Schizosaccharomyces pombe: one gene and its partners. The protein of the gene in region 3 purifies or fractionates together with the protein of the main gene of each other region. This does not show direct contact. Each region holds a gene or a part of one and is shown on either strand. Other genes may lie near its edges.

Evidence for each region. The genes of interacting proteins can lie anywhere in the genome.
Region 1: the proteins of rbm10 (region 3) and spt16 purify together in Schizosaccharomyces pombe (affinity purification with mass spectrometry, with the first as the bait; one study listed by BioGRID). This does not show direct contact.
Region 2: the proteins of rbm10 (region 3) and spt6 purify together in Schizosaccharomyces pombe (affinity purification with mass spectrometry, with the first as the bait; one study listed by BioGRID). This does not show direct contact.

The regions. Positions count from the first base shown.
Region 1 is NC_003423.3:3,669,315-3,675,337, forward strand, and holds spt16 (histone H2A-H2B chaperone, FACT complex subunit Spt16), read left to right. Parts: upstream 1-1,965; 5' UTR 1,966-2,144; coding exon 2,145-5,204; 3' UTR 5,205-5,308; downstream 5,309-6,023. Other genes in the region: phosphomethylpyrimidine kinase Thi201, read right to left, coding at 1-404; RNA methyltransferase Nop2, read right to left, coding at 5,437-6,023.
Region 2 is NC_003424.3:4,211,761-4,218,731, reverse strand, and holds spt6 (transcription elongation factor Spt6), read left to right. Parts: upstream 1-1,870; 5' UTR 1,871-1,928; coding exon 1,929-6,026; 3' UTR 6,027-6,256; downstream 6,257-6,971. Other genes in the region: ATP-dependent RNA helicase Has1, read left to right, coding at 1-1,314; mrc1 (claspin), read left to right, coding at 6,389-6,971. UniProt on the Schizosaccharomyces pombe protein: Histone H3-H4 chaperone that plays a role in maintenance of chromatin structure during RNA polymerase II transcription elongation thereby repressing transcription initiation from cryptic promoters.
Region 3 is NC_003424.3:1,512,123-1,516,482, forward strand, and holds rbm10 (RNA-binding protein), read right to left. Parts: upstream 2,613-4,360; 5' UTR 2,507-2,612; coding exon 2,249-2,506; intron 2,195-2,248; coding exon 1,964-2,194; intron 1,893-1,963; coding exon 1,287-1,892; intron 1,245-1,286; coding exon 642-1,244; 3' UTR 561-641; downstream 1-560. Other genes in the region: rps2202 (40S ribosomal protein uS8), read right to left, coding at 1-67; ssz1 (putative heat shock protein Pdr13), read right to left, coding at 2,967-4,360.

The DNA.
Region 1 (6,023 bases), on a different chromosome or scaffold from region 3:
ACCAGCTTCGAAAAGTTGAATTTCTTGGCAGAACGTGCAACTGCCTTAACGATTTCAGGGCTGCCAAGCATACCTGTTTTCACGACATGACAAGGTATGTCTCGAATGCAACAATCGATTTGAGATTCTACGAAGGCAGGAGACATTTCCTCAACAGAGTCTACTCCACCAGCGTTCTCAGCAACTAAACAAGTAATAGCACTCATACCATATACACCTAAACTGGTCATGGTCTTCAAATCAGCTTGAATTCCGGCACCACCACTGCAATCAGAACCGGCAATGGTTAGACTAACTGGAAGAGCCCGACGCTTGATGGTATAGCCCATTGGATCCAATACTGTTTCTATCCGCGAAGGATCAAACTGATTGGAAAGCGATTCATAAAGAGGGTTATACGGCATGATAGATATTGACTGGAAATTTTGTAAAATAAATGGTCCTAAATATAGTTATAAAGCAGAATTTATGTGTTAAATTTTCCTCAGCAAATAGCGAATTTGGTATGCAAAGGATTCTCAGAAAGAAAAGGGATTGAGAACAAATATACCGCAAAAAAGACGATATTAACTCAAGTAGACCCAATTTGAGGTTTTGTGATACAAAAAACGTTTTATTTGTTTTGTAAACATACTCTTTATATATGCATGAGTGTTCGTGTGTATGTAAGCGCCGTTTTTTCACGGACTCATATAACCGAACCCCATTTTTCGTAGTAGTAGTTCGTTTTTCTGCCTACATAAAATGGATGAGATCCATGATATAAGGATCTGGATATTCGTTTTTTTGTTTTCTTCATGAAATGTGGCATTACCTGGATCAGCACTAGAAATTGATTTTAATAGCAGCGCATATTTTGCATTTACTATATATTATTACTATATCCAGTATTTCGTGGTAAGTTTCATAAAAAATATTGAACAAATTCTAATAAATTGTAAATTCGTTTTTTGAATTTTAAGCCATACCCTATATCACCAATAAGGCTTACAACAAAGTTATATTTAAGATATTTGTATATTTTGTTACTCCGTGTTGACCCAAGAACTTATATTTTTATTGACTTCACTGGTTGGAAAGACAAAAATATCATGATAACCAGATATGAAACGTATTTCTTGCTATTATTTGTTCCGAAGCTTAAGATATCGCTCCTTATGGATTATTTAAATTAACAATAAAGTTGCTGATCCATTTAGCCATGTATAATTAAAACTACCACCAGTAACGGTTGAAGATTTAGTAAACTAAATTTTGTCTTTAAGCCAAAAACACTTCAATACGATGTTCGTCAGCTATACAAAACATTTTAAAAATTTCATGGGGATAATACCGTATATACTTTTAAGATAAAATTGGTATTTAACTGGTTAGTCGCGTAAAAGGGTTACAAACCACTTAATATACCTTATTTTTAATGGTGCATTTCAAAATTAGTTTCATCTAAAGCAAAGGTATACCGGGTAAAAATGATCTTTATAAATGGCTTACTAGTTTTGCGTTGTAGTTTTATAATTTGTTCTACTCAGTTCATTTTACCAAGCAAATCAATTTAATCCGTTTAAAGCTGAGTGCTCCAGAATTTGTGCCACTTTTCAATAACTAAAGCATTAAGTAATATCTATTGTCTTTGGATTGCTTGACGTAGGTAAATGATTTTTTAAATTACTACAGCTCATATATGTACGTAGACGTATTCAGACATGTATGTATAGTATTCGTGCTCCAAAAATTATAAAGCTTGTCCAACCGTTTACGATTATATACAGCAAAGCGTGATATTCATCCTGCTCTTGAAGAACCAAAAAATAAATAAATAAATTTTATTTTTTTATGATGCTTGTGGTCTATTATAAACATTAACAAGCTCAAATAATCAAGCTAGAACACATGCAGCGTAAGTCGAGTCGCGTCGCAGAAATCCCAGCCCTATATATCTACATTCAAAAGTACTACCACTTACCCACCTCCATCCACAAGATATCAAAAAAAGCTATCAATCAATAAAAAAAAAATAAAACAATTCCTGTTTCTTTTTTACAAAATTTTAAGAAATTTTGTAAGAAAAAGCCTTTTTGCCCTTTCAGATAAAATAACTATTCGCTAAAGAGTGAATATATCTTAAATCGTTAATTAAAGGTAAAATGGCTGAATATGAAATAGACGAAATTACATTTCATAAACGCTTGGGCATACTTCTTACCTCCTGGAAGAATGAGGAAGACGGAAAGACGCTGTTTCAAGACTGCGACAGTATTTTAGTAACAGTAGGGGCTCATGATGATACGAATCCATATCAAAAGTCCACTGCACTACATACATGGCTCTTGGGTTATGAATTTCCATCGACTTTAATACTTCTTGAAAAGCATCGAATCACAATCCTTACATCAGTTAACAAGGCCAATATGTTAACGAAATTGGCTGAAACCAAGGGGGCTGCAGCTGACGTTAACATCTTGAAGAGAACGAAAGATGCTGAGGAAAATAAAAAGCTTTTTGAAAAAATAATAGAGTATATTAGAGCCACCAATAAAAAGGTCGGAGTATTTCCTAAGGATAAAACACAAGGAAAATTCATTAATGAATGGGACTCAATTTTTGAACCAGTGAAATCAGAATTTAATCTTGTGGATGCATCGCTTGGCTTAGCAAAGTGTCTTGCTATAAAGGACGAACAAGAACTTGCTAATATAAAAGGAGCATCGCGGGTTAGTGTTGCGGTTATGAGTAAATATTTTGTTGATGAACTTTCGACTTATATTGACCAAGGAAAAAAAATAACTCACTCTAAGTTTTCGGATCAGATGGAAAGCCTTATTGATAACGAGGCTTTTTTTCAAACAAAATCTTTGAAACTAGGAGACATAGACTTGGATCAACTAGAGTGGTGTTATACTCCCATTATTCAATCGGGGGGTAGTTATGATTTGAAGCCTTCTGCTATAACAGATGATAGAAATCTTCATGGGGACGTCGTCCTATGCTCTTTAGGGTTTCGCTACAAATCGTATTGTTCTAATGTTGGTCGCACTTATTTATTTGATCCTGATTCCGAACAACAGAAAAATTACTCTTTTTTAGTAGCGCTTCAGAAAAAGTTGTTCGAATACTGCAGAGATGGCGCTGTTATTGGGGACATATATACGAAAATTTTGGGTCTTATACGTGCTAAACGTCCTGATCTCGAACCTAATTTTGTAAGAAATCTAGGTGCCGGCATTGGCATTGAATTTCGCGAATCTTCACTTTTAGTAAATGCCAAAAACCCACGCGTTCTTCAAGCCGGGATGACTCTAAATCTTAGCATTGGATTTGGGAATTTGATTAATCCTCATCCTAAAAATTCTCAGTCTAAAGAGTATGCTCTTTTATTGATTGACACAATTCAAATAACAAGAAGTGATCCAATCGTATTTACTGATTCTCCAAAAGCTCAAGGTGATATATCCTACTTCTTTGGTGAAGATGATTCTTCTCTTGAAGACGGCGTAAAGCCACGCAAACCACCTACTCGGGGAACGGCAACTATATCAAGTCATAAAGGAAAGACTCGAAGTGAAACCAGAGACTTGGATGATTCTGCTGAAAAGAGGCGTGTTGAGCATCAAAAGCAACTAGCATCGCGAAAACAGGCTGAGGGATTGCAACGATTTGCTCAAGGTTCTGTTCCGTCTAGCGGCATCGAAAAACCCACTGTCAAACGATTTGAGTCGTACAAGCGTGACTCGCAACTTCCACAAGCAATTGGTGAGTTACGTATTCTAGTAGATTATCGAGCTCAAAGTATTATTTTACCCATTTTCGGTCGGCCTGTCCCGTTCCATATATCTACTTTAAAAAATGCTAGTAAAAACGATGAGGGAAATTTTGTGTATTTACGACTAAATTTCGTAAGTCCTGGCCAGATTGGCGGTAAAAAGGATGAGTTACCGTTTGAGGACCCTAATGCCCAATTCATACGAAGCTTTACTTTCAGAAGTTCAAATAATTCTAGAATGTCGCAAGTATTCAAGGACATCCAAGATATGAAGAAAGCAGCTACCAAGCGTGAAACTGAACGTAAGGAGTTTGCTGATGTTATTGAGCAAGATAAATTAATTGAAATAAAGAACAAGAGACCTGCTCATATAAATGATGTTTACGTTCGCCCTGCTATTGACGGGAAACGGTTGCCTGGATTCATTGAGATACACCAAAATGGTATTCGGTATCAATCGCCATTACGTTCAGATAGCCACATTGATCTTTTGTTTTCTAATATGAAGCATCTCTTTTTCCAGCCATGTGAAGGCGAGCTTATCGTTCTTATTCATGTTCATCTGAAAGCTCCGATCATGGTGGGAAAAAGGAAGACCCAGGACGTGCAATTTTATCGCGAAGTTTCTGATATTCAGTTTGACGAAACTGGAAACAAGAAGCGGAAATACATGTATGGTGATGAAGATGAATTGGAGCAAGAACAAGAAGAAAGACGGCGTCGTGCTCAATTAGATCGCGAATTTAAATCATTTGCTGAAAAAATCGCTGAAGCAAGTGAGGGACGAATTGAATTAGACATTCCATTTCGCGAACTTGCATTCAATGGTGTTCCCTTCCGTTCCAATGTTTTATTGCAGCCGACTACTGATTGCCTAGTTCAATTGACAGACACACCATTTACTGTAATTACACTAAACGAAATTGAAATTGCACACTTGGAGCGTGTACAATTTGGTTTAAAAAATTTTGATTTGGTTTTCATCTTTCAAGACTTCCGCCGCCCTCCGATTCATATCAATACAATTCCAATGGAGCAATTAGATAATGTAAAGGAATGGCTCGATTCATGCGATATATGCTTCTATGAAGGTCCTCTTAATTTGAACTGGACCACGATTATGAAAACTGTCAACGAGGACCCCATTGCATTCTTTGAAGAAGGAGGATGGGGATTTTTGGGAGCTCCGAGTGATGATGAAGGAGATGATAGTGTCGAAGAGGTTTCTGAGTATGAAGCTTCTGATGCCGACCCTTCTGATGAAGAGGAAGAAGAATCTGAGGAGTACAGCGAAGATGCTAGTGAAGAGGATGGTTACAGTGAAAGCGAAGTGGAGGATGAAGAAAGTGGTGAAGATTGGGATGAATTGGAGCGTAAAGCACGTCAAGAAGATGCTAAGCACGATGCTTTTGAAGAAAGACCATCTAAAAAGAGACACCGGTAAACTCACAAATTTACTTCACTTTCTTATTATTTATATGTAGTTTATTCTAAAAATTCCAGAATACTTTATAATAAAATATTCCACTGAATTGAGATTTGACAACCAGATGGATTGATACAAAAATATAAAGACCGGCTCTTTACGACAACCTATTAATATAATTGTTGTAGTAACACGCGAATCAATGTTCAGTTACCTTTTATTGTGTAATCCCAACCTAACCAAAATTATTCTAATCCTTTTTTTTTGCAACCTTATAACCTTTAGACTTCAACCATTTGCGACGATTCTGCTCGATAATCTCCTTATCGGCTTCATCATTGAAAGTAATATTATCAATTTCAGTAGAATTCTTTTCAATTTCAACATCATTATTTGTTCCATCCTTCATATCATCAGCCACATTTACAGTAGGGATTTTATCAGAAATCTTTTTCAGTTTGGCAACGAAAAAACCGTCTATATTGTGAACATGAGGATAATAACGTCTAGTTAACTTTAGACTTGGATGAAATCTTTTTTCACGAAAACGGGTAAACCCTTCACGTCCAAATTCAAGTCCAGTGGACACTAGCTTAACATTAGGGCGCTTCTTTAAAGCATATTGAATAACTGCTTCATCTTCGTCAACAGTAATACTGCAAGTAGAATACACGATAAAACCACCGGTTTTGCTGTCAGCATTGACAGAATCAATAGCGCTTAGAAGCAATTGCCTTTGTAAATGGCTAAGAGTATCAAAATCCCTTTCAGATTTGTTAGTTTTAACAGACTGATCTTTATATATAACACCAGTACCCGAACATGGGGCGTCAAGGA
Region 2 (6,971 bases), 2.7 Mb from region 3:
GCTTTTCTAATTCCTACCATTGAAATGCTTTATGCATTGAAATTTAAGCCTCGTAATGGTACTGGTGTTATTATTATATCTCCTACTCGTGAATTGGCTCTTCAAATTTTTGGTGTCGCAAAGGAGTTGTTGAAATACCATCACCAAACATTTGGTATCGTCATTGGCGGTGCTAATCGCCGTGCTGAAGCTGATAAATTGGTGAAAGGTGTTAACCTATTAGTTGCTACTCCTGGTCGTTTACTGGATCACTTGCAAAATACCAAAGGATTTGTATTCCGCAATTTACGATCCTTAGTGATTGACGAAGCCGACAGAATTTTGGAGATTGGTTTTGAGGACGAAATGAGACAAATCATGAAAATCCTTCCCTCGGAAAATCGACAAACCCTCCTGTTTTCTGCTACACAGACAACTAAAGTTGAAGATCTTGCTCGTATCTCTCTTAAGCCCGGACCCTTGTATGTTAACGTTGATTCTGGTAAGCCTACCTCTACCGTTGAAGGATTGGAGCAAGGTTATGTTGTAGTTGATTCTGACAAACGGTTTCTTCTTTTATTTTCCTTCTTAAAACGCAATTTGAAGAAAAAAGTTATTGTTTTCATGTCATCTTGTGCTTCTGTCAAATATATGGCAGAATTACTGAACTATATAGATTTACCAGTACTTGATCTTCATGGCAAGCAAAAGCAACAGCGTCGTACAAACACCTTTTTTGAATTCTGCAATGCCGAAAAGGGAATACTACTTTGCACCAATGTTGCTGCACGCGGGTTAGATATTCCAGCCGTTGACTGGATCGTGCAGTACGATCCTCCTGATGACCCCCGAGATTATATTCATCGTGTAGGTCGTACAGCTAGAGGAACAAAGGGAACTGGTAAATCCCTTATGTTCCTCGCTCCTTCTGAGCTCGGTTTCCTTCGTTATTTGAAAACTGCCAAGGTTTCTTTGAATGAGTTTGAATTTCCTGCCAATAAAGTTGCTAATGTTCAATCTCAGCTCGAAAAGCTTGTTTCCAAAAATTATTATTTGCAGCAGTCTGCAAAGGATGGATACCGTTCCTACTTGCAGGCCTATGCCTCATATTCTTTAAAATCTATCTTTGATATTAATAAATTGGATCTCGCAAAAGTTGCTAAATCATTCGGTTTTGCTCATCCTCCAAACGTCAATATCACTATTGGTGCTAGTGGACGAACAGACAAAAAAGAACGACGTGCGGGTTATAATAAGAAGAATCACGTTGATGTTTATTCAAAACAAAGATCATCAGCTATTTCTCAAGACAAAGAGCGTGGATGGAGCCGCTAAACTTCGTTCATATTAGAAGTTGATTTCATTTAAAAGGTTTATTTAATTCGGTTTTTCTGGCTTTTACAAATGACTTGGATTTTGAATGGTTGAAGGGAATTTTTTTTTCCTTTCATCCTTTTAATATTGGTAAATAGGGTTGTTTTCGCTCAAAAGGTTTACGTGTTTGAAATAATGGATTTCATAATTTTTATTGTAAATACCCGTGTAAGTTATTCAAAGGGAGTTTGATATCGGCTATAAATAAAGCCAAAACTAATCATTGCAACGAATGGTCGTGATCGTAACAACAACGTCTGTCTTGTATATCAAGGACTGTGGTATTTTGTAACAACAATTCAGATTAGCAGCATTGCATATTAGCTCTTGCAAAGCACTTTATTTTTATGCTTATATGTACGATTGAATATTTGTTAGAACTACAAAGCACGTTGCGTTGTCTTATAACATACTAGTGAATTTTAATGTGCTCCTTAAATGTTTTATGATGCTGCATTAACTTTTATTAAAATATCACCATCTAAAGCAAGCGCATCTTCAAGTATTGTATTTCTCTGCCACAATTGACCGCAAACCTTCGAGAAGCCGTTCCTTCGTCCACTATAGAAATAGGAATGAGTGAAAACGAAGTTGTCGGGTCACCAACCACCAATGGTGATAAAAATGAGGATGGTTATCCAGCTGAAAATGGAGAAGGCACAAATGTGGATGACAACAACAATGAAGAGGAAAAGGATGGAATTCCTTTAGATAATGACAATGATGAGAATGACTCTTCTGAAGAATCTGCAACTGATGAAGAAGCTGAGCGACAAGTTAGAGAGGGTTTCATCGTCGAAGATGAAGAAGACGAAGTTCCTCAGGAAATTCGGCGCAAAAAGAAACGTAAGAAGCATGCCGAAAGTACTGCTGATCAAGATATGCTTGATGAGGAAGATCTGGAACTTGTCATGGAGAATACAGGCCAAGGCTCTCGTTTTTCTAAGTTGAGACGTTTAAAACGTGGAAGAGATCAAGAAGAGACTCTTGAAAACATATTTTCTGAGGAAGAAGAAGAAGAAGAAAACGAAGTCGATGATGAAGCTCCTAATCGCACGCAAGGCCACCGCGCTGGCGTTATCGACGAATTTGCAGATTTCATTGAACAAGACGAATTTGAAGACGAAGAGCGTCAAGAAGAAAAATATGAGACTGGTCCGCCCATAGAATCAGTACGACCTGAGGCTTTAGGAATATCGGATGATGATTATATACAAATATACGAAGTCTTTGGCGATGGAACAGATTACGCATTTGCCCTTGAAGATGAAGATGCTGAAGACGAGTTAGAAGAGTCTGTCAGTTTGAAGACCATTTTTGAGCCCAGTGAACTAAAAGATAAAATGCTTACCGAGGAGGATGAGATCATAAGAATCACGGATGAACCTGAACGTATGCAACTTTATATGAAGAGGAACATTGATTGCTCTGAAGATGAATTTAGGGAACAAGTTGCTTGGATTATCGATTATCTCTTAAAAAATAGGCGTGATATTGATGCTGAACTATATGAGCCGTTTCAAACTGCTGTTCGCTATGTAGTTCACTTCTTTATTCGTGATAGTCTTGAAGTACCCTTCATATGGCAGCACCGTCGTGATTATATAGTGCATAACAATCGTGAGAGGAACACAATTACTCCTTTATTAAGTCAAAATGATTTGTGGAATATTTTTTTCCTTTGCACCAAGTTTTGGTCACTTCATTCTAAGAAGCAAGATATCCTAAAATTGTACTCTGATTTGGGAATTAATGATGATTTAGTAGTTCCCTTCTGTGAAGCTGCTTCCTCTCTTGATGCAATTGATGACCTTAATGATTACATACATTTCACTTATTCTGAACAAATCCGTGATCGTGCCTTACTGATGGGTACTGGTCTTCGTCGTCCACAAGGTTCGAAGTATTCTTTTTTTGAAAAATTTAGAAAATCATCACTTTACAATCTCGTCAAAGAATTTGGTATGAGTGCTAAAGACTTTTCGTTCAACGTAGCACAGGGTGCTCGTCTCCGTTTTGTGGAAGACAACACCCTTTCGCCTGAAGAACTAAGTCGTACTTATGTGACAAATGAGCTGTCATCACCTGAGCAGGTACTTCAAAAGGCACGTAGAGTTTTAGCAGAGGAAATTATTCATGATCCTCAATTTCGAAAGTCTTTCCGTGACAAATTGTACAATGCTGGAGTCGTTACTGTTTTGGCCACTCAAAAAGGTGTCCGTAAAATAGGTAGTGAGCATCCTTATTATGAATTTAAGTATTTAAAACGGAAACCCTTGGGCTCGTTTGAGTTAGAGCCAATCCTATTTTTAAAAATGTTAAAGGCCGAAGAAGAGGGCTTAATTCAACTATCGATTGAATTTGAAGATCCTGATGATGTTTTTAAAGGTTTACTCGAGCTTTTTGTTTCAGATAATTTTTCTGAGAACGCAATGCAATGGAATGCTCAGAGAGAATTGGTATTAAAAGAAGTATTTAAAAGGTTTTCTGCATTAGCACCCGATGCCATACGTGAAACTTTACGTTCTCGATACCTGGACGAACTTGGAATGCGCTGCCGAAATCAATTGTTTTCAAGACTTGATCAAGCTCCCTATGAGCCCTCAACTAAAAATTTCGATCGTGGCACTATTCCATCAGTCCTTGCCGTCTCCAATGGAAAAGGTGAATCGTCTGATGCCATTATCTGCGTATTTGTTGATGATGTGGGTGAGCCTACTGATTCATTAAAACTTGCCGATCTACGAGATCTTGCTAATCAAGCAATGTTTGCTGAATTTGTCGAAAAAGTTAAGCCAGATGTTATAGGTGTTTCGGGAATGAGCGTTTCTGCTCATAAAATTCGTCAACACGTTCAAGATTCGTTAACGTCTCACGAACCAGTAGATCTAATCATGGTGAATGATGAGGTCGCTCGTCTATATCAGAATTCTACTCGTGCTGTTGATGAATTTCCTACTCTACCAACTATTTCTTGCTACTGTGTTGCATTGGCTCGGTATGTACAAAACCCTCTGTTTGAGTACGCTGCTATGGGTCGTGATTTGATGTCTTTATCATTTGATCCTTGGCAACATTTGCTTCCCCCTGATGTTCTCTGGAAATACTTGGAAACTGCGTTAGTCGATATATCTTCTTTGGTGGGTATTGACATTAACGAAGCAGTGACTAACAAATATGAAGCTAATATACTTCCCTACATAGCGGGATTAGGTCCTCGCAAAGCAGATTATGTTTTAAAGAAAATCGCTGCTACCGGTGGACGTATTGATAATCGTAGTGATTTAATTTCAAAACAAATAATGTCGAGAAAAGTTTTCATTAATTGCTCTTCTTTCTTCATTATTCCTAATGATGAGTATCCCAATATGGATATTTTAGATTCTACAAGGATACATAATGAAGACTACGAGTTAGCTAGAAAAATGGCAAGTGATGCACTAGAACTTGACGAGGAAGATATTGAAGAGCTTGAAACCAATCGAGGGGTGGTTTACCACCTTTTAGAGGAAAACGAAACAGGAAAACTTGATGAGCTTGTTCTTGAAGAGTATGCTGATCAACTGGAACGTGAATTTCACCAGAAGAAGCGAAACACTCTTGAAAAGATCCGTCTGGAGTTGAAGGATCCTTATGGAGAGCAAAGGAATGTATTCCATAAGCTGACACCTTCGGAAATTTTCCTAATGTTAACCGGAGAAAATCCAGAAGAGTTGCAAGCAGATGCAATTGTACCCGTGAATGTTAGGCGAGTTACTAATAGGTTCGTTGCCGTCAAACTCGATTGTGGAATTGATGGAAATATTAAAGCCGATGAAGTGAGTGACGATTTTATACCCCCTCCCCAATTGCTTCAGGTTGGTCAAACAGTCGAAGGTGTAATTATTTCTTTGGACGAGGCTAATTTTATGGTTGATCTTTCACTTAGAAATAGTGTTTTACAATCGGCAAATTCTAAAAGACAAACTAGCTCTCATCGTACATCTTATTGGGATACTGAGGCTGAAAAGCGGGATACTGAGAGGATGCAGGCCGAAACACAGGCTGAACAACGAGTTGCTCGCGTAATTAAGCACCCGTTATTTAAGGATTTAAATGCCTCTCAAGCCGAAGCATATCTGTCGAAAATGCAAGTTGGCGATCTAGTTATACGTCCATCTTCTAAGGGCTCTGACCATATTGTCGTTACATGGAAAGTCGCTGAAGGCTCCTACCAACATATCGATGTGTTAGAATTGGAAAAAGAAAATGAGTTTACAATTGGTCAGAAATTACTAGTAAAGGGAAGATTTGAAAAAATGACTTATCAATACAGTGATCTCGATGAGCTGATTGTTTTACATATTAAAGCCATTGCTAAAAAAATAGATGAAATGTGTATACATGATAAATTTCGAAAGGGTACACAAGCGGAAACCGAAAAATGGCTTGAGAGTTATTCTGAGGCAAATCCTAAACGATCCTGTTATGCATTTTGCTTTGATCATCAACATCCTGGATACTTTATCTTATGTTTCAAAGCTAGTGTTAATAGTCCTGTAACGGCATGGCCGGTGAAGGTTATTCCAAATGCGTTTTTTTTACAGGGCAACGTTTATGGTGATATGACTGCACTTTGCAATGGTTTCAAATTGCTGTATGCTGCTCGAACTAAAAATTTTAGACGGATGTGAGCATTGATGGTTTAAACGCTTTACTCTTATCTGCAACTACGTGACATTTGTTTTACATAATTAAAGAAAACCACCCTTGGTTTATTTCATTTTCACCGAATTTTTGGCACATTAATATTGAAATATCCCTTTTTATACAGTTGATATCTATATGTTTTTTTTTTTACAATAAATTCTCTTAATACCCTGTATTTTTATGTATATATGTTGTAGTTTTCTTGTTAATAGAGCGCAGCTTGGAAAGTCGCGACGCGTCAAGACGCGTCGCGTTTGTTGATGAATTCTAAGGAGGACTAAGAGATGTATCGCGGCAAAGCAACTACCATTACTCGTTCAATAAGAGCTTTGTGGTGCTTAAATCTATGGCATCTTTAGACGAGAACGCTGATGAGTTGCACAGAATGGATTCTTCTGATGAGGCTTCCATCAATGATGATCAAGAGGATATTTTAGATACGCCTCGCACTAGGGTGAGGAAAATGTTGGCGAGTGTTGATATGCAATTGTCTAGCAATGCTGTATCTGAAGCATCTTTGGATAAAGAGAGTACCGTTGGCAATTTAGAGAATCAGAAAAATCGCTCGTATAGCAGCGAAATCTATCTTCATTCTGATACGAATTTTTTATCTAATTTTGACTCTGCTTATGAACGTGTTAGGCGATTATTAAATCAACAAGGTGGTAAGTCTTCTCTCCAAAAAAAGGAGGTTGAACAAATTGAAACTCAAGAGGGAGGTGATAATGCGAAGGGAAGTCCATCCTCTGAAAATAAGGATTCTGATAGAAATTCACGTTTACAACAATTAATTGAAAAGAAACGAAATGCCTTGAAGAAGGAACAGGAAGATCTGATCCAAAACTCTGCTACAAGCCATAGCAAATCAGATAATTTAGATTCTGAAAGTGCAGATGATAGCGATTTGGCAGACGAATCAGAACTTTCAA
Region 3 (4,360 bases):
GACGTCCACGGCGCTCGGCGTTGACGATATTGTTTAAACAATCAGCGAGAACAGATTGACGAACCATTTTGTGTTTCTGACGAGAAGCGCGTTAGTTTTCTTGAGTGTCTTGTTTAAAGATTTCAAGAAAAAAAGGTTCCACCCATTGGGTTCAAGTATTCACTGAAGAATAAATGTACCAATAGACTTCCGCTCACATCTTGTAATATTTAATATTTCATACCTGTTTTGGACTACTTTTACTTTATAAACTGTAGGTGGTAAAAACAGTTTGCAATTTCGCGAAATGCTTGTTTTGTATCTACAGGAGCAGTCACATAAAAACCCTACCCTATTTAACTCAGTACTGATTTGATTGACTTTGGGTAGTTTCAAAATAATAGAAACTTTAGAAATGTAACCTGAAGGGCATATACGGTTAAAAATAAAGTGTTTCTCTTAAACTGTACGGAATTCCAATGTTTTAATATACCAAGGGGAAATTACTTTATATAGAATATTAGACGTTTAGTATTGAATTGCCATACTTTACAAAATTTGTATTTCCTCAAACACAATAAGCATAAGTAGGAGACATAAAATCATGGTATTAAATTACTGTAATATTAAGAGATTTTCGACGCAAATAAAAAAATTCCCTATTATAAATTATTGTTTTTATCATTTTGAAAATACAAAGACCTTGCTCGGTCTTTCACTCTGTCAACCGGAGTCATGTTGATCTGTATTTTACTCCCCTTGTTGCCAAGTCCAACACCGGGCAAATACATCGTCGGTTGAATAGCTTCCTTGATCCCATTTTCGTTAGTACCAAGACCACTTCCTTTGTTCCATCCCATAGAATTAAGCATTTTCATGCTAACATTAGAGGTGGAGTGAAAGCTTGAGCCCTGAGATGACTTTTTAGCCTCAACTATTGTATCACTAGAAGCAGCAGGTACTATTCGACGTTCAGTAGCGCGATCTCTGTAATCAACAGACTCAGTTTGACGAACTCGGTGCATCAAAAGCTCTGCAGAAGAGACAAGTTCGTGGTTTTTCAGATTATTGTTGTGCATAATAGACTGAGTAATATGTTTTACTACATGGCCCCAACTCTGAAACTTTCGCTCACACAAAACGCATATTAAAGCCGATTTCCACACAAAGTGTAAAAGCAACTTTTCTTCTTCTTCAGAGAGATCAGGGATATTGTCTTTTAATTCCTTCTGCGCATCATTCCATCTTTGCAATGAAGTGGCAACCTATACATATCAGCAGGTTTATGCTAACATTAAGACACATACCTTCTTAGAAGCAGGTACATCTATGTAATTGGATGATCGTGCACGCTTTTCTTTTTTTGGTTTCTTATTTACTTCAATTGGTTTAAACTGATCTGTATCAATGCCTTCAGGAACATAGATCGAGCAATATAGTTCTGGGTCCCAATAAACGAGATAACCAGTTTTTGTAGGAAATTGCCATCTTGCAGATTCCGTATATGCAGGAATTAAAACTCCATCATGAATGTAATCAACAGACACTTTCCTAGAAGCTAACGTGAAGCCCTTTCCCGGGTACGTGCGGGCTTTCATAAGTGCTTTCGCTGACTCATCTACATCTTTAAATTCTAGTATGGCATAACCACAAAACGCATCATTAAACTTATATCGAATCATGAAAACCCTTTGGACGTCAATTTCTAATTTGGAAAGTCCCTTCCATAACGTTTCTTCAGAAAGTGAACGGTCAAGGTTTCGTAATATAAGGTATACTGAGGGTACATCACTTACATCCATGTCGCCATTCCGTTTACTGATTTTATGATTTCCAATAGCAATCGAAGCCTGATTCCTTGGCACACGACATTTGAAGCAAGACTCTCTATATGAATAATTTAGAATATCACACTACTCCAACAGTTAGTAAGTAAAAAAAAATTATATGTGAAAAAACAATATTAATTGTTAAAATTGTTTACATTTTGGCAACACCAACCCTCAATCTGCTCTCTGGCCGCACGTGAAAAACGTACAGACACATCAATACCGTCGATGACCAGCGTTGGAAAATTGGCTTCCATCCAATCCTTAGAATCCTGTAAGGAAACAAATTTAGCGAAGGCAAAACAGCGAGATTTTTGTGTTTCTTTCTCTCTTATTAGTGTAACAGTAGAAACTTTAGCACCCGTGGCGTACAACGCAAGTTCAATCTTCACGCATTTTTGTTAGTATTTCCTTCAATAAAAATTAAGTCTGAATCACACATGTTCTTCTAATATTTCCGGAGTCAACCCTTGAAGAATGATTTCTTGATTAGGAACACCGATGTGTCTAGAAAGGGGTGAGTTCCTGTCCCTTCCATAATTTCCTTTCGGACGATATGAATCGAGTAAACGAGGGTTGTCACTACTAATATTTACATCGTAATCTCTAGATGCACAATTGTCCGATATATTACTGCTGGTCGAACCTTTCTCTTCAAAAATTTCTTCAAAACCATTTTCTGAATAATAATCCTTCATCATGTCCACAACGAGTTTTAATTATTTAAAATGGTCTGTCTTATAACTAAACGAAAACTATTCCAACCATCTCAAACATAATTTGTTTGTATTAGGTGAATGTGTCGTCGTATACTTATAAAATTATCACCACCAACATTTCCTTGCAGCAACATCATATCATTCTCTCAATATAAATCACGAAGTGGAAGTTGAATAAAATTATTGAAGTATAGTACATGAAATTTACTTTCAGTAAGTCAATTTAAACTGTCAGTTTTTGAAAAATATTGCTACGTCACATGAATGAAAAAATCAAACATTTTATATGCATAAATGGCCGTGTAATTTAATTTTAATTTAATACAGTCTACCAGCTATTCTAGCTTTCCTTTCCTAAACCCTCTTCTCAACAGATCAGACATAGAAAAAAAACTATGACATAGATAAATTTTTATGATTTTTTATAGCCAAGCCAAAATTATGCAGTAGATCCACGAACGTTAGTTCCCTTGCCATCCTTAGGACGTGCACTTGCCGTTAATTTCCCTTCAGCATCTATTTGAAGAACCAGCTCGATCTTGGCATTAGGAGAAACATCAGGAAGAGTAATGGTGGCAATCAAAGTCTTGGGTATAGCGATACGCTCTTTAATCTCCTCTGGCTCCTCTTCTTCATCATCAGAAAATGCCTCTTCCTCATCAATAGGCTCCGGTTCAACTTTGGTAACCTTTACTGAACGCTCAGCTTCATAAATTGGAATAAAGGCAGCACCCTCTTTAGGAGCAATCACCTCAACAGTCTTTCGAGCAGGCAAAGCAGTCTCGATGTCGAAAATAGTAACAAAGTTCTCACCTTCGTTGATACCGATAGGAGCAGTAAGGTGAGGAACATCAACCACTTGTGCATCAGTAGAAGCAGCAATGTCAGCAGCATCAAAGTGCCCAATCAAAGAAGCTTGAACACCGGAACCGATCGCGGTAAGTTCAGAAGGGTCTAATTGCAAAGGAGTAACTGAACTAGAGGAACGGATGATAGTTTGTTCAGGGAAAATGGATTCCATCAAGGAAGTTAATTTGGGAGTATTGGAGGCACCACCAGCTAAAATAACCTCAGAAATATCAAAAGGCTCCATGTTTGCCTTTTCAACAGCTTCGGTTACAAGATCGGCCATGCGATTTAAAGTGGCGCTTGCTGCAAGGTCATAACGAAGGCGGTTAATGCTACTATGGAAGTCGATGCCGTCGGCCAAAGAGTCTACAGCAGCAGAAGCGGTAGTACCATTGCTAAGTACACGCTTAGTGATCTCACATTGAGCACGGAGCTTAGCAAGGGAACGGGCATTTTTGCGAGGATCAATTCCATTCTTCTTTTCAAACTCCTTGGCAAAGAAATTAACCAACACATCAGTTAATTGCTCACCTCCCAAATTCTCATCATGAACTGAAGCCAAAATGGTCATTAGACCACCCTTAACAGATACAACAGAGACCTCAGAGCGAGTGGCACCAAAGTTAGCGACCACAACAGTTTTGTCGATCAGAACCTCTTCGGAATACATTAAGGCCAAAATAACAGCAGCCGGGTCATGAATCAACTGCAAAACTGGAAGTCCAGCTTCATTGGCAGCAGATTCCAGAGCCTTACGTTGAGCGTCAGTAAAATAGACAGGAACAGACATAACACATCCGTTGACCTTTGTACCCAAAAAGTCCTCAGCAGACTCAGTAAGACGGCGTAAGTGACGGACACTAGCCTCATGAGCAGTCAAAATCTTTTCTTTAGGATCAGATTCTTCGTCCTCTTGAACAGTGATCTTGAAACCAATTTGACCCTCCACATTCACGGGATTGGCAGAATAATGACAGTGATGAA